Linked DNA regions of Struthio camelus. The protein of the gene in region 2 purifies or fractionates together with the protein of the main gene of each other region. This does not show direct contact. Links are inferred from orthologs where the notes say so. Each region holds a gene or a part of one and is shown on either strand. Other genes may lie near its edges. The genes, in order: TJP2, SRPK2, CLASRP and LUC7L3.

What was found.
Region 1: the proteins of SRPK2 (region 2) and TJP2 purify together in Homo sapiens (affinity purification with mass spectrometry; 3 studies listed by BioGRID and IntAct, with this or other methods). This does not show direct contact. The link is inferred for Struthio camelus from reciprocal best matches to the Homo sapiens genes SRPK2 and TJP2.
Region 3: the proteins of SRPK2 (region 2) and CLASRP purify together in Homo sapiens (affinity purification with mass spectrometry; 3 studies listed by BioGRID and IntAct, with this or other methods). This does not show direct contact. The link is inferred for Struthio camelus from reciprocal best matches to the Homo sapiens genes SRPK2 and CLASRP.
Region 4: the proteins of SRPK2 (region 2) and LUC7L3 purify together in Homo sapiens (affinity purification with mass spectrometry; 3 studies listed by BioGRID and IntAct, with this or other methods). This does not show direct contact. The link is inferred for Struthio camelus from reciprocal best matches to the Homo sapiens genes SRPK2 and LUC7L3.

What each region holds. Positions count from the first base shown.
Region 1 is NC_090982.1:25,650,374-25,657,748, forward strand, and holds the start of TJP2 (tight junction protein ZO-2), read left to right. Parts: upstream 1-4,294; coding exon 4,295-4,407; intron 4,408-7,375. UniProt on the Homo sapiens protein: Plays a role in tight junctions and adherens junctions. Acts as a positive regulator of RANKL-induced osteoclast differentiation, potentially via mediating downstream transcriptional activity.
Region 2 is NC_090942.1:15,421,510-15,428,780, reverse strand, and holds the start of SRPK2 (SRSF protein kinase 2), read left to right. Parts: upstream 1-4,252; 5' UTR 4,253-4,307; coding exon of another isoform or gene 4,308-4,323; intron 4,324-4,441; coding exon of another isoform or gene 4,442-4,526; intron 4,527-5,040; exon of another isoform or gene 5,041-6,012; intron 6,013-7,271. UniProt on the Homo sapiens protein: Serine/arginine-rich protein-specific kinase which specifically phosphorylates its substrates at serine residues located in regions rich in arginine/serine dipeptides, known as RS domains and is involved in the phosphorylation of SR splicing factors and the regulation of splicing.
Region 3 is NC_090957.1:1,329,604-1,336,768, reverse strand, and holds the start of CLASRP (CLK4-associating serine/arginine rich protein), read left to right. Parts: upstream 1-4,024; 5' UTR 4,025-4,143; intron 4,144-5,882; 5' UTR 5,883-6,004; coding exon 6,005-6,103; intron 6,104-6,594; coding exon 6,595-6,692; intron 6,693-7,165. UniProt on the Homo sapiens protein: Probably functions as an alternative splicing regulator. May regulate the mRNA splicing of genes such as CLK1. May act by regulating members of the CLK kinase family.
Region 4 is NC_090960.1:7,424,776-7,432,401, reverse strand, and holds the start of LUC7L3 (luc7-like protein 3), read left to right. Parts: upstream 1-4,505; 5' UTR 4,506-4,803; coding exon 4,804-4,902; intron 4,903-7,626. Other genes in the region: ANKRD40 (ankyrin repeat domain-containing protein 40), read right to left, coding at 1,628-1,761. UniProt on the Homo sapiens protein: Binds cAMP regulatory element DNA sequence. May play a role in RNA splicing.

The DNA.
Region 1 (7,375 bases), on a different chromosome or scaffold from region 2:
TGCTTGGCAATGGCTGTTTCCTTTGCAGTTGGATCTGAAGTGACTGAAGATGGAATCATGCATCTGTCATCAGCTTTTACATGAAATATGCTCTAAATCTAATAACTCTTTCTTTTCATGTATTGAGCAAAAGAAAACTTTCACTTTGATCTCATAAATGTTTCTTTCATGCAGAAAAGAACATTTGTCATTCTTTCCCCTTTCCCTGAATTACTTCTCACTTGCCAAACCATCTACTGCAACAGTCTAGAATTTGTATAGAATGAATGAGAATAATATAATTTCTGAACTGCTTTTGCAAATATCACTTATAGAATTTTATTTGCATTGAAATCATTGTCACAAGACTGATTTTTTTTTCTCTCTCTTTCAGCTAAGAAAGCACAGAATAGAGTAAGAGACTTTGAAACAGACGTAAAAAAAGCTTTCAGTTCTCACAGGGTTCTCTTTCCCTACAGCCAGCGTACCTTCCAAGTCTTTTGATATATTGCCACAATGCATTATATCAATTTGATAGAAATACATGTTACCTCATTTTCTTTATTTTGAAAACTGAGAAGTAATCAACATGGCAGACTTGTAAGGAGAAGCTGAGCAGAGAACACAAGTATGGTGAAAAAGCAAAGATTTCTTTTTGCTAAAATTCAGGCTGTCCATTGCTGTTCTCTTCATGAGCATGGTTGAGGACCACAAGTTCCCGAAGCTGACACAAGTGTTTTTCTTTAACAGATTAATTATTAGATTATGTTTGTTCACTTGTATGTTCCCAGTTGATCTGTGCTCTTTCCATTAAAACTTGGTGTTCTTTCTGCCTGAAAAACACAAAGTTAGAAGGGGAGTGGATGATATTCCTCAACAGGAAACAATGAACGTAGATGTATTTTAGACCCTTTGTTACTGAGGGATAGTTTTTTCAGGGCAAACAATGGATGTACTAATAGCTTTGAGTTTCTGTTTTCAAACAAAGTTGAAGGAAATTGATAACTTGTGAGTCAGTCTTACTCCCTCTGCATATCTAAGATTCATGAACAAGCTAGCTAAGAGGAGTGCTTGGGAGTGACTTATGCTTACTGTATGAGTTTGTTTGTGAGCTCTCTGTGTACAAGGCTGGTCACGGGGCTCCTATTCTAGTCAGAGTTATTTGGCTTTACTCAAGCAAATAACAGATTAATTAGAGCTACACTAAACAATTTTTTCACTTTTTTCAGAATCATAGTTCTAAGCATGCTATTGGGAAGTGTTTGTAAGGAAGAATCTGTTCCTCATATCTCTAAGGGAAAAATGTAAGGTTAAAAAAGGTGAAGGGGTGGTGATGGTGGAAAGAAGTGCCAAAACGTATGAGAAATTGTGATAACATTGAAAACAAAACTAACTTAAAAGGCAGATTGGATTTCATCAAAATGTTTCTCTGATTAAGCAGGACTGACTATTATCATGAATTACTACATTCAGAAGGTGTTTAAAAACTGAAATAGTCAACAAACTGCTAGTCAATACTGCCTGCACAATAGGGCTGCTAACGCTCTCAAAAGTCAGGATGCATGCAGGCCTGATGACATTAGCTGTGCTTACAGACTGCTACTAGTATTTCACTTTCCCAAGGTTCTTACTACTTTGTATGCAGATGTTTGAAATTGTAGTATTGTAGCTTTTTTTTTTTCCTTGGTCTTGCGAAAGTAATACTTAGCTTCACTTTATTTCTATGTTTTTAATACATTAGCTGCTTTCCTGAAGGGTTTTGACACTGTCTCCCATCACATGCTCGTAGGTAAACTCAGGAAGTGTGGGCTGGATGAGTGGACGGTGAGGTGGGTTGAGAACTGGCTGGACGGCAGAGCTCGGAGGGCTGTGGTCAGCGGTGGAGAGTCCAGTGGGAGGCCTGTAGCTCGCGGTGTCCCCCAGGGGTCAGTGCTGGGCCCAGTCTTGTTCAATGCATTCATCGGTGACCTGGAGGAAGGCACAGAGTGCACCCTCAGCAAGTTGGCTGATGACACTAAACTGGGAGGAGTGGCTGACACACCAGGGGGCTGTGCTGCCATTCCGAGGGACGTGGACAGGCTGGAGAGCTGGGAGGAGAGGAGCCTCATGGAGTTCAGCATAGGCAAGGGCAGGGTCCTGCACCTTGGCAGCAATAACCCCATGCCCCAGGACAGGCTGGGGGTTGACCTGCTGGAGAGCAGCTCTGCAGAGAAGGACCTGGGAGTGCTGGTGGACAGCAAGCTGGGCATGAGGCAGCAATGTGCCCGTGTGGTCAAGAAGGCCAATGGGATCCTGGGGTGCGTTAGGGAGAGCATTGCCAGCAGGTGGAGGGAGGTGATCCTGCCCCTCTCCTCAGCCCTGGTGAGGCCTCACCTGGAGTGCTGTGTCCAATTCTGGGCTGCCCAGTACAAGAGAGACATGGCACTCCTGGAGAGAGTCCAGCGGAGGGCCACTAAGATGATGAGGGGACTGGAGCATCATCTCTCCTGTGAGGAAAGGCAGAGAGAGCTGGGGCTGTTCAGCCTGGAGAAGAGAAGACTGAGAGGCGATCTCATCAACGTGTACAAGTATCTGAAGGGAGGGTGAAAGCCATACTCTTTTCAGTGGTGCCCAGCAACAGGACAAGAGGCAATGGGCACAAACTGAACCACAGGCAGTTCCGTCTGAACATGAGGCAAAACTTCTTTGCTGTGAGGGTGACGGAGCACTGGCACAGGTTGCCCAGAGAGGTGGTGGAGTCTCCTTCGCTGGAGATATTCAAAACCAGCCTGGATATCTTGTGCACTGTGCTCTAGAGGACCCTGCTTGAGCAGGGGGGTTGGACTAGGTGATCTCCAGAGGTCCCTTGCAACCTTGGCCATTCTGTGACTCTGTGATTTCCTAATACATCTCAAATTTCCAGATTACGTATTCCTTACATATCTATGTACAACTAGATAGGTATAAACTGCAGATTTCCTTTTGTCAGTTATTTGTCGTTTTATTTCTTGAATCTGTAAACTGCTTAATTTTATATTGCTATTTTAAAGTCAGTTGAGCAGATTTAATAATTCACTTGAGATGGTTCAGTGTGTGCATATTTTGTGTAAGTGAACTTAAGTTACAATGTAACTTAATATATTGAGTGCCAGGTAGGGCGTAAGTAATACAGAAGAGTGAATAATACAGGGACTGGAAATAACTGTACAAGAATTCATTGTGTAGGGCTGAATATTTTACAGTATAAGTTTAGAAGTTGTAGTTTCCATCTTAAAGGTTTCAAAATATGTAACATTCTATACAAAGTCACCTCAGCAGAAATATAGGCATTTTACTACTAGAGAATAGTTAAAATACGCAGTTTGCAGAGGGGTTTTTGGCCAGGTCTTTAGGATAAATGCTTCCCGTCCCGTCTGTTCTTTTTGCATGTTTATATAAAATAACCTATACAACAATAGAAATAGTATATATAAAATTATATATAAACTTTCATAGTTAGTATCTTACTATCTATGTAGCATTACAACATTTCCTTTGTTAATCTTTTTTGCAGTCAAGCAAGTCTCTCTTAATACTGTAGTTTGGCAGTGCTGCAGCATATCTAAAATGCCACTATTACTTCAACTTGTACATCTGTCTCCACGCTTGTAGTTAGTACCTGAGGTCATTGGCATGCACAATTACTTACGTCATGGCTGGAACAGTTTTGACACGGAAAGTGGCTTCTGGCGTTGTGTGAGGCACATTTGTATGACTAGTAGGTATCATAATGAAGTCTTTATCTTGCTTAATTCTGTGTAAGTGAAGTAAGGGAATGTTTCTCCATGCCTCTCCTGCTCAGATCACAGATAAATCCTGGTGCTACGGAGAAAAGTTGAAGCAAAAGCCATTATTACCTTTCAGAGTATGTAAAAAAAAATTCTCAACTTTTCTGTGCAGATCTCATTCCCTCAGTTGATCTGAGAGAGAAGTTACCTAGCGCTCCATTAGTACTTGAAAGATTATAAACATCAGAGATTTAGCCAAGGATTAGTAAATTGGAGAGTGTGCATTATCCGGCCAGGCTTAGAACCGTGATTGTCTCTTCAATCATTTTCATTAGTGTCTTACTCAAAGATCAAATTATGTAACAATGACGTTTCAGGGGAATCTGGCAGGAGTTTTTCTTTGGTTTCTCTCCCAGACTAACTCTCCATGCCTAGTAGAGGGGGGGAAGGCATTATTTTTATGCTTGAAACCTGCAGTATGTTTTGAAAAGCAACCGTTCAGACAAGTGCAGAAGCATGACTGCGTTTGGATGACAACTTAGCGTGGTGGAACTCTTGAGAGAGGCAGGATGCGGTACAAGAAATATATAACTATCTTAGAAGCAGCAATAGGCATAACTCCCCTTAACAAAAGGGAACTGCTTCCTGAAGGTAGACATGCAAACCTTTGGCAACATCCCAGGTAAGTGTTACAAACGAGATAAATGAGTAACTGTGGGAAAACCTGTGTTAACCTTGAAGAATACAATTTGAACGCTTCTATGAGAAAAGGAAAGAGTCATTCATAAAAACAAGTAATCTTTTGTCTGCCTTCCAAGCAGTGTATCTTCTGCAGTTGCAGTTAAACTCTGTGGTTTCATTAGAGATTTCTGTGCATTTACTGTCCTTGGCTACCAGGACAATTAGAAAGAGGCATAATTTCTAAATTAAAAGTTTGCTCAAAGAGTAGAAAGGATAAACAGGAGCATACTTATTGCAATGAAAACGAGATAGTCATTTTGTATTAATGCTTACTCCTGCTGCATGTGTATGTGTGGGTTCCCCCCCTCCTTGTTAGAATGTGCATATTTTAATTATTATCTATGGGAGAACTAGCAGCTTCTAAAAGCAGAAAAAAAAACCCACTTTTTTGCTTGTATCCCACTTTCTTTTTCTAATAGAAAGCAAAATTTCCTCATATTTAGGAGTACTGTTTTCATAAAGGAAATATGCAGCAATTAATAGAGAAAACAATTAGGATTTTTAAGCGTTCAGACTATGAAATTGGGAGCATTCTGTTCTGGTTAAAAACAATTCAGAGTGCTTTCTTGTACCCCCTAACTTGAATGTTGGACTTCAGAAAATTCGTTCGTTCGTAACTCAGTTTCCCTCTAAAAGTGATCGTCTTAAAAACTCCTGTGCTCATAGAGTGTGTATGTGAGAAGAGGGATTGTCCTTCTTTCCCATCTGCTCATTCTATGTAAGTAGCGTCAGTGGGTGCATATCCTCATAGCCTTTCTAGTCTCTCCTGTTCTTGTTTTGCATTAGAATGTTGTACTGTTGTTTAAGACATGGCAGAGGAACATAAAATCTGAGAAACTTGTTGAAGACTAATGGTTAGATAAGTTTGTACTGGTTGTGATTAGTTTTGTGTGAGAAAATTTTCAAAGAAAATCTTGGAGTAAAAATGCTATCACCTGAACTCTAATTTTGCTCATGATTTTTCTGCAAGAACCCCTCTGCTAATAGTGGTATCAACAGTAATACCAATTCAAATAAAGCACCCATATGATTTTTAGTTGCTTCACCTAAATGACAAAATACTGGATGCTAAGATTTTCCACCCTCTTCATTGACACAAAAATTCTTCAAGTTGATCCTAGTGTGCTGGTATTGCACTGAGGAGTGCTTTTTGGCTTTTTTGTTAAAATGTGCTCATTTGAAGGCATCCTTAGTACAATGCATTGTAGACACTTCTTTCCCATGTTCTCTTGACTCTGACTTCCTCTGATTGTTTAATGTGAGTTATCTGCATGCCAATCTCTCTGAATCTTGCAGCCGTTCTTTACATGTTGATAAAAAGTTACATGATGGCTCTTGATCCTTGGAGGAACGGTGTTAGAATGTAATGACACATTCTTACAAAATTTCTCTTTGTGCTTCAAGTAGATTTGTTTGGCTAGAGGAGCAACTTGAAACAAACCATTTAAAAATGAAACTTATTAACTTTAGCATCCCTTCTTTTTTGCTTTACTACTTAAATGTCTGAATGATAAGCTTTCATCTACGAGTGAGTGTTAGTCAATACCCAAATGCAAAACATACTGCCTTGTTAATACTTGTTTTTCTTTCCAGTGTTATTAATCAGGCGTCTCCCTTCTTTCATAGAGGGGTTTCGAGTGATGTAATTGTTGTACACACTTGGAATTTTAACTTCTTAAAATGTATTTGAATTACAGAATTGCCATTCTGACAATTCAACAGAAGTAGAAAAGCTTTTGTCATTGGACTTCATTAGGGACCCCTTATATCCTTTTATTAGATCTTTCCGAGCACTAAGGGTTGGGAGCTAACAATTGCCATGAAGTGAACCATGGTTTGAAGAAAAGAGCGCTGTTCTGTTTGCAGCTGCGGACTGTGATCTGTGCAATTGGAATAAGCAAATTTATAACTCACTTGGCTAATATCTGCTTGTCACTCAGCCTCTGGTGGTACTCTATCAGGTTCATATAAAAAAGAATCCAATCAAATTGAATAACATTTTTAAACTAGCTATTTTTTCCCCCAATTTCCATCATGGCGCATTTTCTAAAAGCTAGTACAGAATGTAAAGTGTATCTGGCTCCTCCTCACTGCACAAATTCAAATGCATGCTTAAGTTAAATTCTTCCTATGCTTCTCTCAACCATCTCATAGAATGAAAGAAAATCAGCATTAAAGTGGGATGTCAACTCCCGTGCCATCACTTGAGAGGTGTGAAAATACTGACAGTAACCCAGACTAAGGTGTGAGAGAGGGCAAGGAAGAAAAGCGTGTTATTTTGCTAAGGTGTTCATTTTCGTTTCCGTAGGAAAGTCATTATAAAGCATATTTTTCCATTTCACTTGGAATAATTACGCGATTTCTGTGGCAGATGGATTCTTTGAAACTGTTCGCATCTTCACAGGGAATCAAAATGATGACAGCAATGGTATTTTGGTTTTAGCTTTCTTGTATAACTTTCCTGCTGTTTTCTGGAAAAGACACTATTACTCTGCACACAACCTGGAACAATGAAGTCGATGTTTGCTCATAATGCATAGCTTTTGCTGCTCTTTGAAGACGGTGGAAATTCATGCTTAAGTTTCTGTCTGTTTGAACTAGTAGAGCCTTACTTTTGGAAAGATGCATTTGTGGAGGAAGGAGTCAGCAGAGAATGAAAATGAACATCTTTTGTCTTCTCAAAGTGATTGGCAGGAGCTGCCTGCATTTGTGAGGCTTAAGAAGTTCATCCGAGACCAAATGATTTTTTGTAATGCCTTAGACCTTTTAAACTTCCTTTTCTCAATCTCGGACTTCATTATGGACGTACTCAGGGAAAAGTGGGTGCCACACGTGAGGCACGTCTATAAAATGGAGTGTAGACTTGTAGATTGAACAAGTAATTGTACAAGTTCTGTAATTGAACAAGT
Region 2 (7,271 bases):
TTTCCATTCTGTGCGAGAGCAGCATGAAATTGGCCAATATCCTGATTTCTAAGAAAGTGCAGTTCAGGGAGCGTGCCACCACACACTGGGAAAAGTAATGCTGAAATGAACTGGTACATAAATCAGAACTCCAGGGCAGCAGCTTCTAACATCTCTCTGCTCAAGGAAGAGTTTTGTATTATTCTCAGAAAGCAGACAATATGATATTTATAGGATTGCTGCTAGGTTATTTTTTTATTCTGTACAAATGTATTTCACTCATGTCTGAAAATTGAATGCCTCTTTGTATAAGTGAAGTGTTTTAAAGTTAGGTGAAAAGGAAACGAAGCACACATCTAGCAGGTATCAAATGTCTGGTTCAAACTACATTATAAACAGGTAAAAATATAATCTCATAATTTGACATTTTCTCCTGCCTCCCCCCTAATATTTGTACCGAAGATCATCTATACCTGCTGCTGCTGCTGCTGCTGCTGCTGTTGTTCCTCCTGTTGGGGCAGTCATATGACTAAACCTCACCGTGCCCTTCCCCGGAGTGAATGAGCTCTATGGTAATCCTTATAATTAAACAGGCACCTGTTCCAATATTATGTTCAGGGAGAGACAGCCAGACCCAAATACATTCTGTCCCAGTCCATTGTCTTTAATTTATATTGTTTATTTATAAAAGCCTTCTTTCACTATTCAGGATATCCTCTCTCTTGACTCATTGTTGATTTTTGAAACAGTTAAGTATATATATAATATATATAATAAGACATAATGAAATAAGAATGGAGAACTCCACTGAAATGAGTGAATTCGAATAGATATAATGCAGGGTACGTTTATTCTTAATGACCACTCTCTGTATTTTTTGAAATGGAGTCCCTTCCCTTTAGTCTCCCTTCTTTATTTTTGTCAAACGTAGACTGATCCAGTGAATACTTTATCACATTAACCTTATTCATGTGAGCAGCTTGTTTGCCTTCGCTGAAAGTACCTTTACTAAGGTTTTCATAATTAAGACAAAAACCTGAGTCTTTCATTCTCTTTCGAATTGCTTCACAAATTGCAAGCTCAAAGGGAATTACAGCATATTTTTAAAGAAATATGAATCTGAAAAAATACACAAATCTATAAAATGAGGTGGTTTAACATACCTCACATTATTCCATTAAATATTTGACCCTGAACTTTCACTCCCTGCTTGGGTCCTCTGGAATATGCATAAGCCAGGAATATGCATAAGCCACACTCTCAGAGTCTGAGAAATACAGTTTCCTGGTTTTCAAAATATGTTTAGCTTCTACTAACCTTAATTTACTCTCCAGTTTAGTTAACTGCACATGGTAAGCCTCTATACGTACATATGGAGTCTCAGTGAGTTTTTTGCACTTCTGTGTGAGCATCGTCTAAGAGGCTCTTCTGAAAAAAAAGAAAAAGCAGGAAGAATACAGTCCAGAAATATATGTCCATTGGAATGGAAAGATATTGACTGTGTGGAATACACCCACCTGATCCTAACGTAATTCCTTCCCTCGGCGCTAGCAGATTGTTCCCTCACCCTGATTAGGTTGCTGACATTATGTTGCCTGTGAGGGAAATTCCTTCCTGACTCCAGATTTGGCAAATTTATAACCCTGTTGACGTAAGCAAAGCTCACTGATGTTATCTAAGACCTAATTGTCCAATCAGTTCTACATACAAATCTCCTATTGAAGTAAATAGAATTACACATGAGTAGCTGAAAAGACGTTCGGGACCCTGATACGATTTCCACTCCATAGCCATGGCTACAAGATCGCTTTCAGCCAACACTGCCACTGAAAAAGAAAAAAGTAGTCTCACCATTTTCTCCACCAACCGCTGCTTGTTTCTAGCATCTTCTATAGAGGCACAAGTATTTGTGCAGCAGCACAATGAACCAATGAAGCTAAAAATAGCCTGGACAAAAAGGGGAGATATGTAATCTGCTTTTCAACATTCAAATACTATTAATTTTCATGCATCTACATTTTCTGAGCAGAAAGCCTTCGCAATTTCAGTACAGCCTTCTGTTGCCTGATCTATCGGACTGACTACATTGCTGTGCTATCATATTGAACTGGACTAACCACAGAAAGGGAGACATGCAGCATGCTAACATTACATGTTACACAATAATAGATTCTACTGGAAATGTTTTTTTTCCTGTGATCTTCTATGATGGAGGATGCAAAACAAAAACTGTTTTGATTTAGAAATGCAGCTGTGGTGCATCATGACAGTTGTAGCTTAGGAGCTTTGTGGTCCTATTGTTTTCTGTCTGTTAGGCTCTCCAGTCGGACAGAAAGTATTATATATTGTGGTATGTCTGAGTTGTCTGGCTTTATATGGAACCTGCTAGGAAGGAATGGATGCTATCTTTCTGTTCCTGTCCTGTTACTAAGCTGAACTGACTGCAGCCAGGGATTCAATTATTCTGTCTAGCTGAAACCTTTATGATCCAATTACATAAGACTAGTGATCGCTGCCCGTTACCTTCACTCATCATACCTTGACCACATCTCCTCTGAGATCTTCATCCTTGTGGATTCTTTCTCTTGGCATTTAGGGAGGAAGGTGTGCCATCAAAATGTAATAACTGCCCACTGTTACCTTTCTGTCATTATGCCTTTGAATTCCAGTCTTACACGGAGATAAAGGAGAAGCTAGACGACTGGAGTTTTCAGTATGGCCCAGATCATCTTCTGCATCAAGCAGAATTTATAGACTACACAAAATCTCCAAATCCTAACACTATTCAAATGTAGCTATGCAATGCAAAGCACAAATAAGAAGTGGCAATTTTCAACAGGTCATGACTAGGCCAAATCTGAATAGAACCTGGTATCATGAGCAGCAAGACACTGTATTTCTGTTACGATCTGCAGAGAGAAAAAAAAAAAAGTAGAGTTAAATAACTGTCAGTGATGCCAATCAACGAACTTAGAACCAGAATTAAGGACATCTAATTTCTCTGGCTTTATGTCATGAGGGTAATTGGTTCTGGCATGTAACCCTACAGTTTCGTGATAAGCTAAAGCTGATCCAGCTTCAGGCGGCTGCCAAAAGGGCAGATCGACACTTCCGCTCCCACTAGGCTTTTCTCCTTCTCTTTTGTCCACTCTGAGCAATTACGCAGCAATGGGGGAGGGAGGGGGGATCAGCTTGCTATCCCAATTGCAAACTAGTATTTTTTGGGGTTGGCAGAATTAGTTTTCATTTGGTTCACTGAAGTGGTAGAACTCACCGCACAGATACCCCGGTGAGGGGCCTGGGCCCACGTAAGGGGCAAAAGCAGAGCAGTTGATGGGAGAGCAAGAATGTCCCCGTGGGTAGCGGTATAACCTTACGTACAAGGTGTGAGTACCTGCTCTGCAAGTACGAGTAGTATCTTTTCCCTTTATCAGGTCCTCTATTTCCTAAAATCTCCAAGAAGACAATTTCTTTGAAAACCTTATCAAACGGGATTGAAATCAGCTAGGGGCTTTGACAGCTATTCAGCAGGAACTGGCAGCATAACTCTCATTGCGTGGGAAAGCCAGGTTAAGAGCGGGAAGAAGCTCTTGTACGAGGAGGAGTTGAGCGCCGGGCGCCGTTCTCCTGCGGAAAGCACTTGCACTCCTCGGGCAACAGCACAGCCCAGGCAGAGGCGGCAGGCTGGGCTGACCAAGGGGAAGAGCGTCATCACCCCGTGCTTGAATGCATCCCCCTTTTCTGTATATATATATATATATGTATATATAATATATACATATATATATATATTTTAATACACAGGGGAGTAGTATTTTACATAAATAAGCCCCCAGCGAACTGCTTGCAGAATCGCTTGGTGAGACGCGACGGAGCCCAACAGGTTCCAAGTTAAGGGCCGGTCACGCCAGGTAAAGGCCTCGGGTCCTCGTCCTCGCCGGGCGCCAGCCAAGAGGCGCCCCGGGGCCCGCGGGTTCACCGGCGGCCCCAGGCCCGGCACCGACCTGCCCCGCCCGCTCAGAAAGGGGGGGGGGCGGCGGCGGCGGCGGGGGGCGCTGCGGGCCGCCAGGTGCGCTCCCGCCGGGCCCGCGCCGCCACCTGCCGCCGCCCCGCCCCCGCCCTTCCGGCCGCGGCCCCGCCGGCAGAGCTGCGCCTGCGCAGTAGCCGGTCGGGGAAGGGTTTGCGGGGGGGAGGTGCCGCCGCTTTGCCGGCCGGTGCCCGGCGCGCGGACGCGGCTGGCGCGCGGTGGCGGCGCGCGGACGCGGCGCGGCGGGAGGGGCGGGGCGAGCGGTGCGCGCGCGGAGGAGCGCGCGGCGCGGCGCGAGGCGATGAGCTCGCGCAAAGGTACCGGGCCGGCCGGCGGGTCCCGCGGGGCGGGAGCGAGGGGAGGGCAGCGCAGCGCAGCGCAGCGCAGCGCGCCGGCCGCTAACCCCGCGCTCTCCTCCTTCTCTTCTCCCCGCAGTGCTGGCCCTGCAGGCCCGCAGGCGGCGGCCCAAGCAGCCCGCGGCGGCCGGCAGGAGGGACAAGCACCCGCCGCCGCACAAAAAGTGAGTACGGAGAGCCCGGACCCGGCGGGACGGAGCCTCCCCCACCCGCTCAGCGCCCGCCCGCTCCTCCCCAGACGGAGCCTTCCCCTCGGCCGCCGTTAACGTTGTCCGCCCCCCCCCCCCGGCTAGGATCCCTGTCTCGCCGCCGCCGCGGGGCGAGCCCACCCCCCCCCCCTCCGCGGGACACGCGCCGCTCACGCTTCTCCCGCCGGCGGCGGTTTCTTTCCCTCCCGTTTTTTGCCCGCCCGCTCCCTTTCCCGGTAACGTCTCTCAGGTTTTGCTTCCCCCCCCACCGCCCCCCCGGCTGGTTCCCCCCGCCGAGACAGGCGGCAGCTCTCCCGGCGGAGCCGCCCCCTCCCCCCGCTCCGTCTCCACAGAAGCCCTGTGGCCGTTACCCCTCCCCCCGCGCCGCCGCGCGCCGCCCCCCCCCCGCCCCCCCCGCCGTCGGGTGTGCGGGACACCCGGCTCGGCCCCCTCGGGGAAGGCCTCCCTGGCTCGCCCTGCTGGCACAGACCTGCCTTCCTGCCCCGAGGGAAACCTGCTCTGAGGCACTCCTGTGTCCTCTTCCCAAGAGCGCTGCGATACTTTTCTCCTAGGGCTTCTGAGAAACCTGCGTTTGTTCGGGGATGTGCACAGGCTTGGTCTTTGTCGCCATCACCTCTCGTGTCCCTTTCAAACTGCCCCTGGACTTCTCTCGCCCTAGCGGTCTTCCTTCTCTCGTGGTGCTTTTTGTTCTGTGATTTCTCTCTTGCTTTACTGGTATCGTCCTGTCTATAGACAATCCTTTTCTTAGTTATCCCCCTAACAGCCCTATATACCGTTCCTGTTCTACACTTTCTACTTGGTGCTTTGAGATTATTTCCTGTTTCCACATGTATCTCACTGCCTGGGAATTCTTCCGCTAGTGCTTCTTCTAGGTGAAGCTCTTTCTCCTGTGAGCGCTCCTGCCCTCTGTGACTTCATGTCTTTTTAAAATCTCTTCCGGCTTGCAGAAACTGACTTCTAATAACTGTCTGTTTTTTCCTCTTTTTTTCCTGGTAACGCTTCATCATCTTGTCACTGTCCTGTTCGTTTTTTCTCATTCTCACAATAGCCATTTTCACTGAAACGTTTGTTTTCCCGTCTCTGTATGCTCATGCTTGAACTGCGTTTTCCTAGGAGTCCTTATTAGGACACTGTGGCCTTGGACTTGCTTTACTTTTTGTTCTCACAGGATTATGTGTTTTTCCTTCATTAACTTTTACTGTGTTCTGTTCAGTGAGACTTTATTGCCATGATACCTCATCTAGACTCTTGTCTTTGTTTTTGTACCTTGGGGATCTAGTCTGACTACTTTACTCTGACAGGGAGATTTGTTCCACAGATGTTCCTCATCTCGCTGTCTTCTTAGTCTGCCAGTCTTAAATCTAGGAAGCTGGACATGATGGACAGATGTGTATTTATAGGTGATGGGGTAAAGATGTTGTTATGTGTCACAATAAATTATTCCAGGGGTGATTTTTTCTTCTTTTTGATTTCTGTAGAAAGAAATAAAAGCACTCCTCTCCCTCTGTCCTGTGTGGGGTTTTTTTTTTTTTTTTGGTAATAAGATTCCCCCCCCCCCCTTGAGGTATGTAAAAATAATATAGGATGAAATGAAATTCTATGGTGGTCGTCATCAGATTTTGACAGTTAACTTTCATCCACACCCTGCCTGCTACTGCTGTTTCCTCCAGTGTTGTATGAAAGCTTTGTTGTGCTTTCAGTTGTGCTTTCAGTTATATGAATTTGTTACTATTGTGAAGGAAACAAATTTTGCATACAAGATGCACAGTATGATTAGATTAGTTCCATTGTTTCCAAAAGCCTTCAGAAAGTCAGTTTGTAATATTGCGTGGATGTGTTTAGCCACTTTGAAAACAGAAAAATCTCAGATTTTATTATAACTCTAGATTCTGAATTGTATTTGTAGCTTTCAGTTGAATCTTAACCACAAGATTATTAATACCTTACTGTTTCAGTTATATGATAGAGTGTTCGATATGTTTCTAACCAGGGTTGCCTTGGGATGTCTTGCTGAATGAGGTCGTTAGAAGTTTGCTTTAACAGACACAAAACTGGTATTCTCTTCCAGTTTGCTGAAGAAACTGGCTACTGTTAAGTCAGGGTGCACAGTCAGTAGCTGGCTTTTTGCCATACTGAGTCGGCATTTCCAGATGCAATGGCCCAATCTGTTCAGTTGCCCTCGGGAAACAGTGGTTTTGCTGCCGTAGACAATGGCGCCATCGTTTCTTTGCTACTACATATTATTCTTTTCTCTTCAACCCCCTTTTATGCTATCTAGACCTTTTTATACTTCTTGGGTAACTCTTTCAAAATTTTACATCTCCTTGCATATGGTTAAATAGCTTTACTTTGTGGGCCAAAACTAGTATTGGACATTATTTTAGAAAATAACCTCAGCAGAAGTAGCCCTTTTTTTCTGCTGTTTCCAGCCTTGCTTTAAATCCAACTGCTACAGCATATGCTAGTATGTTATAGAACTGTATATCATCTGTGATGCACGTTAAATATGCAGTAGTTGCAAATGAAAATGTTGATTTAAGGAGCGGAAGTTCTACAACATAAGATCTTGTTTCACAGTTTTGAATCCAAAGCTTTTTTTTTTTCCCTGTAGCTTGTAGGAAGACCCTTGTCTGTTGAGTCATAGCTTTACAGAGCAACTTCCATTGTTGCTGGCAACAATGTGCTTCGAAGAACTGCAGG
Region 3 (7,165 bases), on a different chromosome or scaffold from region 2:
CTCCTCAAAGGCCGTAGAGCTCGGGGCGGGCCCCCATGAGCCAACAGAGGCCACCACGGGTGTCTACCAGCTTGGCAAGGGATCCTGGAAGGCCATAGAGCTCGGGGTGGGCCCCCACGAGCCCGCAGAGGACACCACGGGCATCTACGAGCTGGGCAAGGGCTCCTGGAAGGCCGTAGAGCATGGGGCTGATATGAGCCCGCAGAGGCCACCACGGGCATCTATGAGCTTGGCATGGGCTCCTCGAAGGCCGTAGAGCATGGGGCTGATATGAGCCCACAGAGGCCACCACGGGCCTCTATGAGCTTGGCAAAGGCTCCTCGAAGGCCGTAGAGCTCAGGGCGGGTCCCCACAAGCCCGCAGAGGCTGCCACGGAACTCTACCAGCTGGGCAAGGGCTCCTCGAAGGCCGTAGAGCTCGGGGCGGGCCCCCATGAGCCCGCAGAGGCCGCCACGGGCATCTACGAGCTGGGCAAGGGCTCCTCGAAGGCCGTAGAGCTCGGGGCAGGCCCCCATGAGCCCACAGAGGCCACCATGAGCCTCTACGAGCTCGGCAAGGCCTCCTCAAAGGCCATAGAGATCGGGGCGGGCACCCACGAGCCTGCAGAGAATGCCACGGGCGTCTACGAGCTGGGCAAGGGCTCCTTGAAGGCCGTAGAGCTCGGGGCGGGCACCCACAAGCCCACAGAGACTGCCACGGGCATCTACGAGCTGGGCAAGGGCTCCTCGAAGGCTGTAGAGCTTGGGGCAGGCCCCCACGAGCCCACAGAGGCCACCACGGGCCTCTACAAGCTGGGCAAGGGCTCCTCGAAGGCTGTAGAGCTTGGGGCAGGCCCCCACGAGCCCACAGAGGCCGCCACGGGCCTCTACGAGCTTGGCAAGGGCTCCTCGAAGGCCGTAGAGCTCGGGGCGGGCCCCCACGAGCCCACAGAGGCCGCCACGGGCGACTACGAGCTGGGCAAGGGCTCCTCGAAGGCCGTAGAGCTCGGGGCAGGCCCCCACGAGCCCACAGAGGCTGCCACGGGCCTCTACGAGCTGGGCAAGGGCTCCTCGAAGGCCGTAGAGCTCGGGGCGGGCCCCCACAAGCCCGCACAGGCCCCCACGGGCATCTACAAGATCGCGGCAAGGGCTCCTCGAAGGCCGTAGAGCTCGGGGTGGGCACCCACGAGCCCGCAGAGGCCACCACGGGCATCTACGAGCTGGGCAAGGGCTCCTCAAAGGCCGTAGAGCTCGGGACGGGCCCCCATGAGCCCACAGAGGCCGCCACGGGCATCTACGAGCTGGGCAAGGGCTCCTCAAAGGCCGTAGAGCTCGGGGCAGGCCCCCATGAGCCCACAGAGGCCACCATGAGCCTCTACGAGCTCAGCAAGGGCTCCTCAAAGGCCGTAGAGCTCGGGGCGGGCACCCACGAGCCTGCAGAGAATGCCACGGGCGTGTATGAGCTGGGCAAGGGCTCCTTGAAGGCCGTAGAGCTCGGGGCGGGCACCCACAAGCCTGCAGAGGCCACCACGGGACTCTATGAGCTGTGCAAGGGCTCCTCGAAGGCTGTAGAGCTTGGGGCAGGAACCCAACGAGCCCGCAGAGGCCACCACGGGCATCTATGAGCTTGGCAAGGGCTCCTCGAAGGCCGTAGAGCTCGGGGCAGGCCCCCACAAGCCCGCAGAGGCTGCCACGGAACTCTACCAGCTGGGCAAGGGCTCCTCGAAGGCCGTAGAGCTCGGGACAGGCCCCCATGAGCCCACAGAGGCCGCCACGGGCGACTACGATCTCCGCAAGTGCTCCTGGAAGGCCGTAGAGTTCGGGGCAGGCCCCCACAAGCCCGCAGAGGCCACCACGGGCCTCTACGAGCTCAGCAAGGGCTCCTCGAAGGCCGTAGAGCTCAGGGCAGGCCCCCACGAGCCCGCAGAGGTCGCCACAGGCCTCTACGAGCTTGGCAAGGGCTCCTCAAAGGCCGTAGAACTCGGGGCGGGCCCCCACGAGCCCGCAGAGGCCGCCACGGGCATCTACGATCTCGGCAAGGGCTCCGCGAAGGCCGTAGAGCTCGCGGCGGGCTCCCACGAGCCCGCAGAGGCCGCCATGGGCATCTATGAGCTGGGCAAGGGCTCCTCGAAGGCTGTAGAGCTCGGGGCTGTCTCCCACGAGCCCGCAGAGGCCACCACGGGCCTCTACGAGCTCGGCAAGGGCTCCTCGAAGGCCGTAGAGCTCGGAGCGGTCCCCCACGAGCCCACAGAGGCCACCACGGGCATCTATGAGCTGGGGAAGGGCTCCTCGAAGGCTGTAGAGCTCGGGGCAGGCACCCACGTGCCCGCAGAGGCCGCCATGGGCGTCTACGAGCTGGGCAAGGGCTCCTCGAAGGCCGTAGAGCTCGGGTCAAGCCCCCATGAGCCTGCAGAGGCCGCCACGGGCCTGTACAAGCTCGGCAAGGGCTCCTCGATTCAGACACATATGAGCTTTGCTTGTTTCCATATAAACCATTAGGGGCAGGCATGAGTGCCTACGATCTCAGCAGAGATCTGTACAAGCCTGTAGAGCCCTGTGCCATCTCATACAGGCCTGTAGAGCCTAGCACTGACCCATACGAGCCCGTAGTGCCTGGCATGAGCCCACATCAAGCTCAGCACAGGTCTGTACGAGCCCATGGAGTCCTGTGGGGGGTCTGTACAAGCCTGTAGAGTCTGGCACGGGCCCATATGAGCTCTGTGTGGGCCCATACCATCCTGTGGAGCCCTGTGGAGGCCTGTACAAGCTTGTAAAGCCCAGCAAGGGCCCATCCGAGAGCATAGAAGCAGGCGCGGGCTCATACCAGCTCGGAGTGGACCCATACTAGGCTGCAGAGCATGGTGTGGGCCCGTACAAGCCTGTAGGCCTTGCTGCAGACCCATATGAGCTCAGTGCAGGACCGTACAAGCCCATGGATCCCCATGGCATACCGTACAAGCCCATAGAGGCTGGCACGGGCGCGTATGAACCTGTAGGGCCTAAAGCAGGCCCGTACAAGCTCAGTGTGGGCCCATACAAGCCCATAGAGCCCACCACAGGCCCGTATGAGCCCATAGACCTTGGTGTGGGCCCATACAAGCTCCACGAGGGTCCATACGAGCCCGTAGAGCCTCATGCAGGCCCAAACAAGTCCGTAGAACCTGGTACGGGGCCATACAAGCCTGTATGGCCTAGCACAGGCCCATACGAGTTCAGTGCGGGCCCATATGAGTCCCTAGGGCATCGTTCAGGCCTGTAGGAGCCCGCAGGTCCTGGTGTGGGTCCGTAAGAGCTTGGCATGCATGCGTACGAGCCCGTGGAGCCCCGTGTGAGTTTGTGCGAGCCCCCAGGGTCCCCAGACTGGGACTGGTCCAACCCAGTCCCCCCTCACCAGGGCCCCCAGACTGGGACTGGACCAGTCCAGTTCTCCCCACCACCACAGGGCCCCCAGACTGGGACCGGCCCGGCCCAGTTCCCCCACCCCACCAGGGCCCCCAAACTGGGACCGGCCGGGCCCAGTTCCCCCCCCAACCAGGGCCCCCAAACTGGGACCAGCCCAGCCCAGTTCCCCCACCCCACCAGGGCCCCCAAACTGGGACCGGCCCGGCCCAGTTCCCCCACCCCACCAGGGCCCCCAAACTGGGACTGGCCCGGCCCAGTTCCCCCACCCCACCAGGGCCCCCAAACTGGGACCGGCCCGGCCCAGTTCCCCCACCCCCCAACCAGGGCCCCCAAACTGGGACCGGCCCGGCCCAGTTCCCCCACCCCCCAACCAGGGCCCCCAAACTGGGACCGGCCCGGCCCAGTTCCCCCACCCCCCAACCAGGGCCCCCAAACTGGGACCGGCCCGGCCCAGTTCCCCCACCCCCCAACCAGGGCCCCCAAACTGGGACCGGCCCGGCCCAGTCCCAACTGGTGCAGCCGAGCCAGGCCCCGCCCCCCTGCCATATCCCCGCCTCCCCCTCCCCGCGCTAGACCCCGCCCAGCTAGGGCGTGGTGCCCCCCCGCAGGCCTCGCCCCTCTCCGGCTCTCCCATTGGCTCCTCCCCCACCACGTGACCCACCCCTCCCCACGCGCCGCCGTTCTCTCCCTCTTCCTGTTTCCCCCAGCCCCGCCCCCTCCCGCGCTTCCGCTTCCGGGTCGGTCCATGGCCGCGGGCCCGGTGGTGAGTGACTAATGGCGGCGCGGGGCCGCCCCCTTCCCTTCCCCTCCTCCCTCCCCGGCCCGGCCCCGTCCGCAATCCGCCCCCGGGGCCACCGAGCTGCCCCCCCCCGCCGCCGCCGCCGCCCCACCCGTGGCGGCAGCAGCGGAGGGCACCGGGGGGGGGGTGTGCGCGGCGCGGCCTGGCCGGGGTGTTGGCCTGGGGCCTTGTGGTTCCCCCCCCCCCCCCCGGTTGTTCCCCTAGGTTGAGCGGTGTCACCGTCTGTCCTTTCCCCCCCCCCCCCCGCCGGTGCTTTCTTCGAGGGGGGGTGTCCTGGTCCCCGTTTCCCTCCCTCCCCGCCGGTTCCTTCCCCGGGGGGGTCCCAGTCCCCGTCTCCCCCCCCCTCCGCCGGTGCTTTCTTCGGGGGGGGGGTCCCGGTCCCCTTTTTCCTCCCCCCCTCCCCGCCAGTCCTTTCCCCTGGGGGGGTCCCAGTCCCCGTTTCCCTCCCCCCCCCCGCCGGTTCCTTCCCCGGGGGGGGGTTTTCGGTCCCCTTTTCCCTCCCTCCCCCTCCACGCCAGTCCCTTCCCCGGGGGGGTCCCGGTCCCCGTTTCCCTCCCCTCCCCGCCGGTTCCTTCCCCGGGGGGGTCCCAGTCCCCGTCTCCCCCCCCCTCCGCCGGTGCTTTCTTCGGGGGGGGGGTCCCGGTCCCCTTTTTCCTCCCCCCCTCCCCGCCAGTCCTTTCCCCTGGGGGGGTCCCAGTCCCCGTTTCCCTCCCCCCCCCCGCCGGTTCCTTCCCCGGGGGGGGGTTTTCGGTCCCCTTTTCCCTCCCTCCCCCTCCACGCCAGTCCCTTCCCCGGGGGGGTCCCGGTCCCCGTTTCCCTCCCCTCCCCGCCGGTTCCTTCCCCGGGGGGGTCTCAGTCCCCGTCTCCCCCCCCCCTCCGCCGGTGCTTTCTTCGGGGGGGGTCCCGGTCCCCTTTTTCCTCCCCCCCTTCTCGCTGTTCCCTTCCCCGGGGAGGGGTTCCCGGTCCCCTTTTCCCTCCCCCCCTCCCCGCCGCCAGTCCTTTCCCCTGGGGGGGTCCCGGTCCCCGTTTCCCTTCCCTCCCTGCTGGCCCCTTCCCCTGCGGGGGGGGGGGTCCCGGTCCCCGTTTCCCTCCCCCCCCCCCCGCCGGTTCCTTCCCCGGGGGGGGGTTTCCGGTCCCCTTTTCCCTCCCCCCCCCTCCACGCCAGTCCCTTCCCCAGGGGGGTCCCGGTCTCCGTTTCCCTCCCCTCCCTGCCGGCCCCTTCCCCGGGGGGGGGGGTCCCGGTCCCTGTTTCCCTCCCCTCCCTGCCGGCCCGTTCCCCTGGGGGGGGGGGTCCCGGTCCCCTTTTCCCTCCCCCCCTCCCCGCCGCCAGTCCTTTCCCCTGGGGGGGTCCCGGTCTCTGTTTCCCTCCCCCCCCCCCGCCGGTCCCTTCCCCGGGGGGGTCCCAGTCCCCTTTTCCCCCTCCCCAGTCCCTTCCCCGGCGGAGATGCCTGGTGTCCTTCCCCCGCCCAAAACCCCCATTTCCCCCTCCCCATCACTGTCTCCTCAGCTCTCGTCCCATCCCCTTTCTTGTCACCTCTGCCAAGGGGCACCCAGGGGCCCCTCCCTTCCCCAGTGTCCCCCTGAGCCCTGGTCCCCCCTCCCTTACCCCTCACCCCTTCCAAGGGGGTGGCCCATGTCCCCCCTTTCCGGGTGGCCGCGGCCCCGCGATGGCTCTGGGCCACCTAACGGGCCTCCGGCACCAGACAGGGGAAGTGGCCGTCCCCGCCGGTGCGTCCGCCGCCGTGCCGAAAACCACCCGCCCGCCTCTCTGCCGGCGCCGTCTCCTCGTCGCCACGCCGCTCCTTGACAGCTCGGGGACAGCGCGATGTGGCACGAGGCCCGCAAGCACGAGCGCAAGCTCCGGGGGATGATGGTGGATTACAAGAAGCGAGCGGAGCGCCGCCGCGAGTACTACGAGAAGATCGTGAGTCGCCCCGGGCTCGCGGCTGCCCGACACTGGCCCGGCCCAGCCGTGCGCCGCAAACTGGGCGTTTGTCCCTCGTCCAGCAGCATTCCCGCTCCTTCGCGGGGTTGGGGCAGGCTGGGGGGGCCGTGCGTGTCCCAGGCTGGGAATATCGTCTCGCAGAGAGTTTTGCTTGTGGTTGAGGGAAGAAGAAGAGCCTCAGGGGAGGATTTAGTCCCCGGTAGGCTGCTCTGTGGAGGGTAGGAAGTGCTGATTTTGGTGTTTGGGAATCGCGTGGGTGCTTTCCTGCGGTTTTGGGGGCTGGAAAGGGGAGGAAGACGGAGCCACAGCCCTCTCTGCAGGCATCTGTCACTGTCCAGCCGCAGGAAGCGCCGTGGGCGCCCCCGGGCGGGTGCCCTGCTCCTCTCTGCCTGCCTCGACCCCATGCGGACAGAACTGCCCCCCTTGGAAATGCCTCTTCCCTAAACCTTTGGCCTTTCTACTCCCCTTAGAAAAAGGACCCAGCCCAGTTCCTCCAGGTCCACGGCCGGGCCTGCAAGGTGCACCTGGACTCGGCCGTCGCCCTCGCCGCCGAGAGCCCCGTCAACATGTGAGTAGCTGCATGCGGGGGGCAGAGACGGTCTCTCCCCGCTCGCGAGGGCGTTAGCGGCTCCCTGGAGCTGTCACCTTCCCTTCGTGCAGCTGAGGGGTCTTTAAAAAAACAAGCCTGGCTGGCAGGAGACTCGCAGGTCCTGTTTGAGCACTGAATTTATCTCCTGCCAGACCTTAGAGAGAGGCTTTTTGGCTGGCTCGTGGTTCCTGCTTTTCCCAAGTGCTTTGCTCCTCTTGGCGCTTCCCTAGCGGAGATGCCGAGCAAGTAGGATTGCCTCCTTCGTTGTTAGCTCTGGAAATAAAATCTGGGCCATTTCCCTTCATCAAAGCGATGAGAAGGACTCAGCTCCTCCTACGGCAGAGCTTCTAGAAGACACTGTCACAGCTAATGAGTTTGTTCCCCCTCCTCGTTAGGCAGTGACTAATGCAGCAGGAGCTGAGTGTGCTCGTTTGTGGCGCTGGGAGGGAGCG
Region 4 (7,626 bases), on a different chromosome or scaffold from region 2:
CTGAAACTCGGACCGAGTTTGTTTAGTTTTGCTGTGTCATGCTTTTTGGACTTTTCACAAATCTCTCCTTGTTTCGCGTGTGAATAGTTTGCATGGATTCAGAAGCAGCGCACTGCCAAGTCGTAGCTAGTTTAGACCAAAGCAGCGAGAGAACACGCAGGCAGCGCGGGGATGTTTGCTTTCCCTGCTTAAACGAGGATGCTCCATTGAGAATTACACACTATTTCCTCTATACTGAACGCCAGAGACTTCAGCGGGACCCTGCACGCGTGTAAAACTCGAGGGTTTAGTTTGCTCAGAAGATACGCGAGCCTCAGCGGCGCTGCCTCATTTTGGAATTCGTTCTGACCATCGCACGTGGCTTTAGCAAGGTCTCATGCGGAGAGGTACCAGCTACCCCCCCAGATCCAACACACACCAAAACGCACGTATCCAGCACCCCCGAGCATCAGACTCATGGAAAAGGTCATTCCAGCGATTTAAATTCTACAAGCAAACCTAAATAACAGTGAAGATCCATTTACTGTCATAGTCAAAAATGACCAGATCGTTATTTCTGAAAATAATTCTTTTTTTTTTTTTTAATTTATTGTTTCTTCCATCAATGCCAGTTTTAGATAGAAACTCATTTGGATGGCCAGCAACTACTTCTCTTGCACATGAATATAATTTATGCTCTTAGGAATCACTTTGCAGAAGTTATTACAAGCTCTGATTTTAATCACAATTTGAACCGCAAGTTGCAAGCGTTCCATGCTGCTGACGACTACTACTGGCGCTCTAATCTTTAGAATAGCAGCTTCTTTCCTAATTTTGTTCTTCCTATTTTTAATTAAAACCTCAAGCGCAGTACAGCATGGTAAATACACACTGAATTCAACTTGAGGAAAACAGCCTTCAAAAACGCCTGAGCGTTCCCTGCAGCTCCCGCTTCAAATGGTACCGTGTGCGTGTTCATTCACGTATATAGTCCCGCCTGCACAAACGCGTATTATTACCAAAAGGACTTCGTTTTAGTGTCACTAGGTGGTATTTGAATGAGATGTCAGAACTAAAAGTATTTTAGGGACATCACCGAAACAGCCTGCAAGTTTGCTGATGAAAGTGCAGTCACTTTAGAGCCTGATTTGGAAGTTAGCACGAATTAAGTCCGGTTATAAATTAATATATCTTGGCAAGCTGAGGTTTATTTTTTGATAGCTATGTTACGGTGCTGTCTTAGGCTGCCAGCATTCCCTTTCCAAAAAAATAAACAATATAAAGTAACAACGACCTGAAGAAGGATCAAACACCAAAGGAACAAAAATAGCGGGTGGGACGAGAGTGCAAATTTATAAAGCAATTATCAGCTCCAGCAGTATTTTTTTTCCTTTTTGGCGTAGTGAGAGGTAGCTATAGGGAAGAGCATTTGGCAAGGCGTTGAAGAAGCACATTTTTAATTTCATCCCAAATTCACACCGGTCATGATGCGCGTATTTCAGCTGAAAGAGAAAAAAATCCGCAGTAGCGTATGCCTAGTCAAAAACAAAACAAAAAGGGTAAACAAACTCATCTCTACAGCCTCAGGAGCCCTCGGTTCCACTCGTCCTGGAGACGACCCGCTCCGGCTCCCGCTCGGCAGCCTTACCAGCCGTTGATGTCATTCTGGGAGTTCAGGTTCACCCCCAGTTCCACCAGCCGCTGAACTTCCTCCGCGTCCCCCAGCGCCGCCGCCTCTCTCAGTCTCTCCTGCAGCTCCTTCTCCTCTACCAGGGCTGTCATCTTGCTGGAGCCTCGGACCAGACGCGGGTCTGGTGGAGGAGCGCTCTAACCGGGGCGATCTCTCATGCTGCCAACCTCGCAGACCGGGCAGCTCCGCAAGCACAAAGTGTCTCGTGCCCTTTGTCGGTTTTAAATTTGGATGCAGAGTGACTTTCTGTGTGCTAGCCTTAAATCAAGCCCAGGGACCTACTGCCAAAGGACATTATAACAAACACGCTTGCAGGGTGTCCGGAGCATCCCCCTTTCCTAAACTCTTCCAGGGGGACTCTATTATCTGTGACAACTCTGACCTAGATATTTAGTTCCTACGAACAGCCTTGCGTGCGAGTCATGGCTGCTGCGATTTTACAGTCGGGATGATTTATTAGCCACATACGGGTACGTGGCAATTTTAAAGTACCAAACTATTATTTAATGTACAGGCAGCTGTATAACGCACAGCATCTCCTGCTCTGTTGCTTGTGCTTACAGGCTCCAGAATCGCACGACTGCTCTGTCTAGGAAATTCTCATCATCGCTGAGAATTCGCGTTGCAATTAATTAAGCCCTTAATAACTCCAAGGCTACCTGCAAAGCATTTGCAAAGATTACAGGCAGTTCCTGTAATTCACCGTATTTGCTTTAAAAAGTTGATTTTGATCACTGTTGATTTGTCCTAAGCTAAGTTACGGAAGAGCGAAGAGCTAGTAAAAATTTCACAATTATAAAAACTCAAAAGAATCATTTCTGTCTCCAGCCAGACATCTAACGAAACTACACCATTTCTAGTCTAGTATGCTCTAGGAGCGCACTCTGGGGAAATTTGCAATGGTTAGGCTGATCCCAGTTCAGCAGCCAGGGTACCTGGCTGGTGTTTTGATGCTATGGGAGCAATATAAAGCCGAAACGCAGAACAACTCTGGCCCCCTTTTCTAAAGCAAACATCCACCTTCCATCCCCCTCAAAACCCCAAACTGTAGAATTTTTAAGATTTAAGATACGTGTAAGTGGGGTCGCACTGATTTCAGCTACACTCTTACTTACAACAATTCAAATGGGTAATTAAATCACTATGAAATTGCAAAGATTAAAAAAAAAAAATGTAGTGCCTTACAGTGCTGGATATGGAAGTTTTATGGACAGAGTTCTGAACAGAAACTCTATGGACAACCCGTGAGTTTGCGTGAAGCCTTCAGTGATTGCAGCAGAGGTCTGAGCAAGACCAGCCATGAATTCTGTGTTTTTTTACAAGGTCAGCGCTAATACAGACTTCAAACTCTTAAAAAAAAAAAAAAAGCAACCAAGTTCAAGATTTTTAAACTAACATTCATACTACTTAATTATTCCTTGTCTTTTTTACTTCTTCCAGTATAAATGATGGAAATATAGACTAGTAGCACAGAGGAAATTTAAATCCAAACAAACACAAAATGTTAACGTACTAGATTTTTCGGGTACCTGAAAACGTCCATTATCTGCGAAACTATACCAAACCTCTGAAAGCACCAAGATGCCCAGCGTGAGCGCGCTCACCCGTGGCCAAGCCCTTCCCAGGCCACTAGAACCCTCTTTTTATTACAAGATAAAGCAGCATGATATTGGTTCTAAAATGAGCCCAACAGGAAATGACAAAGTAAGGGAGAGAAACATAGATGTTTCTCTTATACTGTGAATAGAGGGGAATATCTCTGATTAAAAACTTGATTAAAAACCCAGTCCTTGTTAGGTCCGTTTCGCTACGCTTCAGGAGTATCAGTATGGTCACGGTTCATAATTTTTACATGTGGAAAAATGCTGGGAATGAATGACTAAATGATCTATAAGCAGGTAGAGGATAATAGTTATAGGGGAAAAAAATGGATTTGTCAAGGGTAGGCAGACTGAGCTACTATAATTTTCTTACTTGGCAGGAAAATTGGTATAGAGGATAAGAGCAAAGCTGCAGGAGTGCCAATGGTAGATGTTCGGCCATAGTCCACAGCACTAATATTCTCATTAGCAAGTTAACGACTGACAGTACAAAAGAAATTTCTACAAAACCGACTAGCAGGCATTCGAAAAAAGCATATTCAAGAGAGGAGTTGGCAGGGATTGCATTAACTGAGGTACGAAAGGGGACTGTCCTCGTCTGGCGGTACTAAATAATTTGGCATACTTTGGGCAGTCAGAATGATTCTGAGGACTTGGAAAATGCTTTAGAATCAGTAAGGTAAAATTCAGTAAGGACAAGGCCCAGAGCCACACCTAGGCAAAAAAAGAAAAATACATCCAAAAATGAGCAGAAGCTGGTTGGGCGTTAATACCAGAGAAATTACACGGGGCTACAAACTGCGTATCGGTGCACCGTTAAAAAAAAAAGCTATTAAAAAATGCAAAAAACTGAGGAGACCCTTCCTGCGTTTGTGCAGTAACCAAGCCGGGAAGCTGGAATAAATCCACGCTTTCAGACTGCTATAGACGAACGGGAGGGAACCCCAAAAACAGGTAATAAAAATTAGAAGAGTTGTTTTAAAAAAAAAAAACCAAACCAAAGACCCATGAGAAAAAAATTAAAACGAACTGGGTTTATTTAAGGAGACACGCGTCTTGAAATCTGCAAGATGACTGAATAAAGTGAACGCTCATCAGTTAGTCTCCGTCCATGACGGGACAAGACATAACCGACCGGTACCGGGGCGAGGAAGGTTTTGGTCAGCTGTGAGGCCCCGTGCCCTCCCCGCCGGCCGGAGGGGCGCTCCCGGCGGGAATACCGTGCCCGGGGCCCTCAGGAAAGGCCCCGGCTCCCAGCCTGGCCACGTCCCGGCTGCGAGGGACGCCCCCCCGGCGAAGCCGCCGACCGCGGGGCAGCGCCGCCGCGGCCCGTCCCCGCCGCCATCGCGAGGCGGCGGCGGCCCCCGCCAGGCCCCAGAGGCGGTTAGCAGGCGCGCGGTGCATTGTGGGCAGGGCGAGGAGCGGCGCCGCCATTTTGTCTCTGTCACTCCAGCGGCGGCGCGGTCGAGTCGGGGAGGAGAGGCGGCGGCAGCGGCGGAGCCCGGCGGGGAGGTATTCGGCCAGGAAGACACCATGATATCGGCCGCCCAGCTCCTAGATGAGCTTATGGGCCGGGATAGAAACCTGGCCCCGGATGAGAAGCGCAGCAACGTGCGGTGGGACCATGAGAGCGTGAGTGAAGCGGAGCCGCCTCTCCCCCTCCCTCCCCTGGTCCCCCCCCCCCCCTCCGGCCGAGGGCCTGGGTCTTGTCGGCGCGACACGCACCGCGGGTGGGGGCCCGCGGAGGGGGAGCGAGGGGGCGCCGGGGTCTCGGCGGGGGAGGATCCGCGGAGGTTTAGCGAGAGGAGAGGGCCGAGGCGCCGGTGGAGCCCGTCGTGCGAGGCTCCCGCCCCGAGGCCGCGGGGCTCCTGCATGGCGGCCGCGGGGCGGCCTAGGCCCGCGCCGTTGCGCGGGAAGCTCGCTGAGCCTGCCCGACGAGGAGGAGGAACTGGGTGGCCGGGAGGGAGGAGGATCCCGCCATGGCTTAGCTGTGCGAGAGGGCTTGCGTTGTTATCAGGGCTGATGGGAGGAGAGAGGCCTTGTGTTTGGGTTTCAGCGTAAGGGGGAGAGGCTGTGTTCGCCTTGGCGTGCGCTCCCTGTCGCGTCGACAAATGGTAGTAAGGGTTTCCGAGAGGCCTGCCGATGGCTGAAATCTCCCGGGGGGGGAGGGGGGAACTGTGGGAAGCTGTAGTAGAAGCAAGAATTTCTTGGAGCCTGCTGGCTTGCATGAGGGGAGATAAGACAGGTGTTAGCGGTTTGAAAGACAAGTTTTCTCTGGATCTCTTCCTAACTGTGGTATTGGAGGAAACGGAAGAATACATTCATGCTAACTTAACTGTGAAGGTTGTAGCGCAGTGACGATCCAGAAGACTTTTGCAGCTGAAGATTTTTCAAAGTAAAAAACTTGATTGCTTCTGTACTTTCCCAAAGCTTACCTACTGCACTTCCGGGTGGGAGGGCTAAACCTAAACAGTATTGCTGTTATTTTTGTAGTACTTGAGAATTTTTTGTCAATGGGGTGATAACATCCATCTTCTGCTTTAAACTGCTCAAAAAGAAGAGGATTTTCTTATATTATTTTGGAGTGAGGTTTCTCCCCACGTGTGGTTAAATCTTAGTGGATATTAGCTTCTAGCGACATCCATTGTGGTTGGTATTAGAACTTATTTCACAAAAAAATCAGTAGTAATAACAAAGTTGCCATAGCTGCCCCTTTGGGTGACTTGAAAACTCTGAAACACTTCCCTCTACTCCCTTCCCCCTGTCGTGATGTATTTTTGTGCTGTGCTGTATTTTAAAAGAAAGAGAGAGTCCCAGTTCAGATAAGACAGTTCACTTATCTTTTGTGTGGTCGAAGTTGTTGTGGTTAAAGCTGCAGAAAGCATTTAGTTTAAATGTGTGGTGTTCCTCCCCCCTTAGCATTTTTTTCATGTTGTTAAGTTGGGAGGCAGGAGAAATGTTTGCTTTTGGCTTTTTAAAGTTGTGTCTGAATCACCAAGTTGGGAATTTCCCATTTTCAAACAAGAGTTACTTTATTTTAGAGCTGGCTAAACCAAGTTTTAATTTGTCTCAAAAACAACATGTAAGGACAAATACCTGTCTTGCTAGACTTTTGTAAATCCAAGCAATTTTTAATTCTCCTTGAAAAATGCTGTTATAGAGGTAAGCTATACGCATCAGGAGAAATTGAGCTCAGGAAGTTTTATTAATGAAATAATGTTTTTTTTTTTTTTCCTGACTTAATCAAGTGTGATTGTTCAGATAGGTGTTCAGTTACACATTTTCTGAGCTCTAAAAGGAAAGGAGTTGGTTAACCCTGGAAATAGGAAGTAAATGGCTTCGGGCATGTCCGTGCAGGTAGAGGAGATAAGGGGTTTCTCGTTTTATTTCTGAAGATGAGAAAGAATTTTTTGCCTCCTTCTCTTTAATCAAGTTAAGATGACTTAATCCTTAGCCTAAAATTGAAAAATAAACTCTTTTAAAATGTGTGACTCAAAACCATAGAAATCCATCTCTAAGATGCTGTTCAGTTTTGTTGTTTCAGAAACAGTGCCTTGTTTCTTCTTCTCAGTCCTCCCTTGATGATTTAGAAAGGGGAGAGCTGTCCCTGTCCTTGTTGAGGCCAGTAGGGGCTTAGAGTTGATCCTTCAGCCTAAGAGGAAATGTTGCTGTGTTCGTTCCGAGTTTGCTTCTTTTTTTTTAATGAAGTTTATATGAGCATCATTAAATGCAACCTTTCTGAAAGGGATGTTATCATAAATCCCTATAGTCAGTGGGCTAGTTCAGAACAAAACCTTTCCCGTGTTAAAACACAGAAATGTATTTTACTTTCAGCTTAAATTTGTGCATCGGTTTAATAAGGGTTTTGTTAGTAATGCTGACTTATTTTAGAAGTCAGGAAATGCAGATAAGGTTCAGCTAGCAACATTAGTTTGCCTGTTTATTGTTTTGTTTTTCTGGTTAAACATGTACATAAGTGTTGTTACTTGTGAAATTATACCTGTTATCAACACAAAGCCTTTTTCAATGTGAGCCTGTTGTATTCTCATTCCAAAATTTAAGATTTTATCAAGATTTCATAAATTTTAGATGTGGAAGGTTATAATTTCTATTTATCATTTGTAAATTACATTTAGGTAGATGTCACAACTTCTGTGGAAGATGGTGTGAAATGCACAACAGAAATAGGCTTTTGTGAAGCTGTGGAAGCAGCGTGTATGATAGCTGAGCGTTTATTCGCAGTTGTAATGAAAAGTGTGATGATCATCATGTATTGTAAAGCCTGTTGTATAGCTTAAGTTTTTACCTTAGAATTTTGACATGAGTAAAGCTTATAATCATAAAAAATTGAAATCC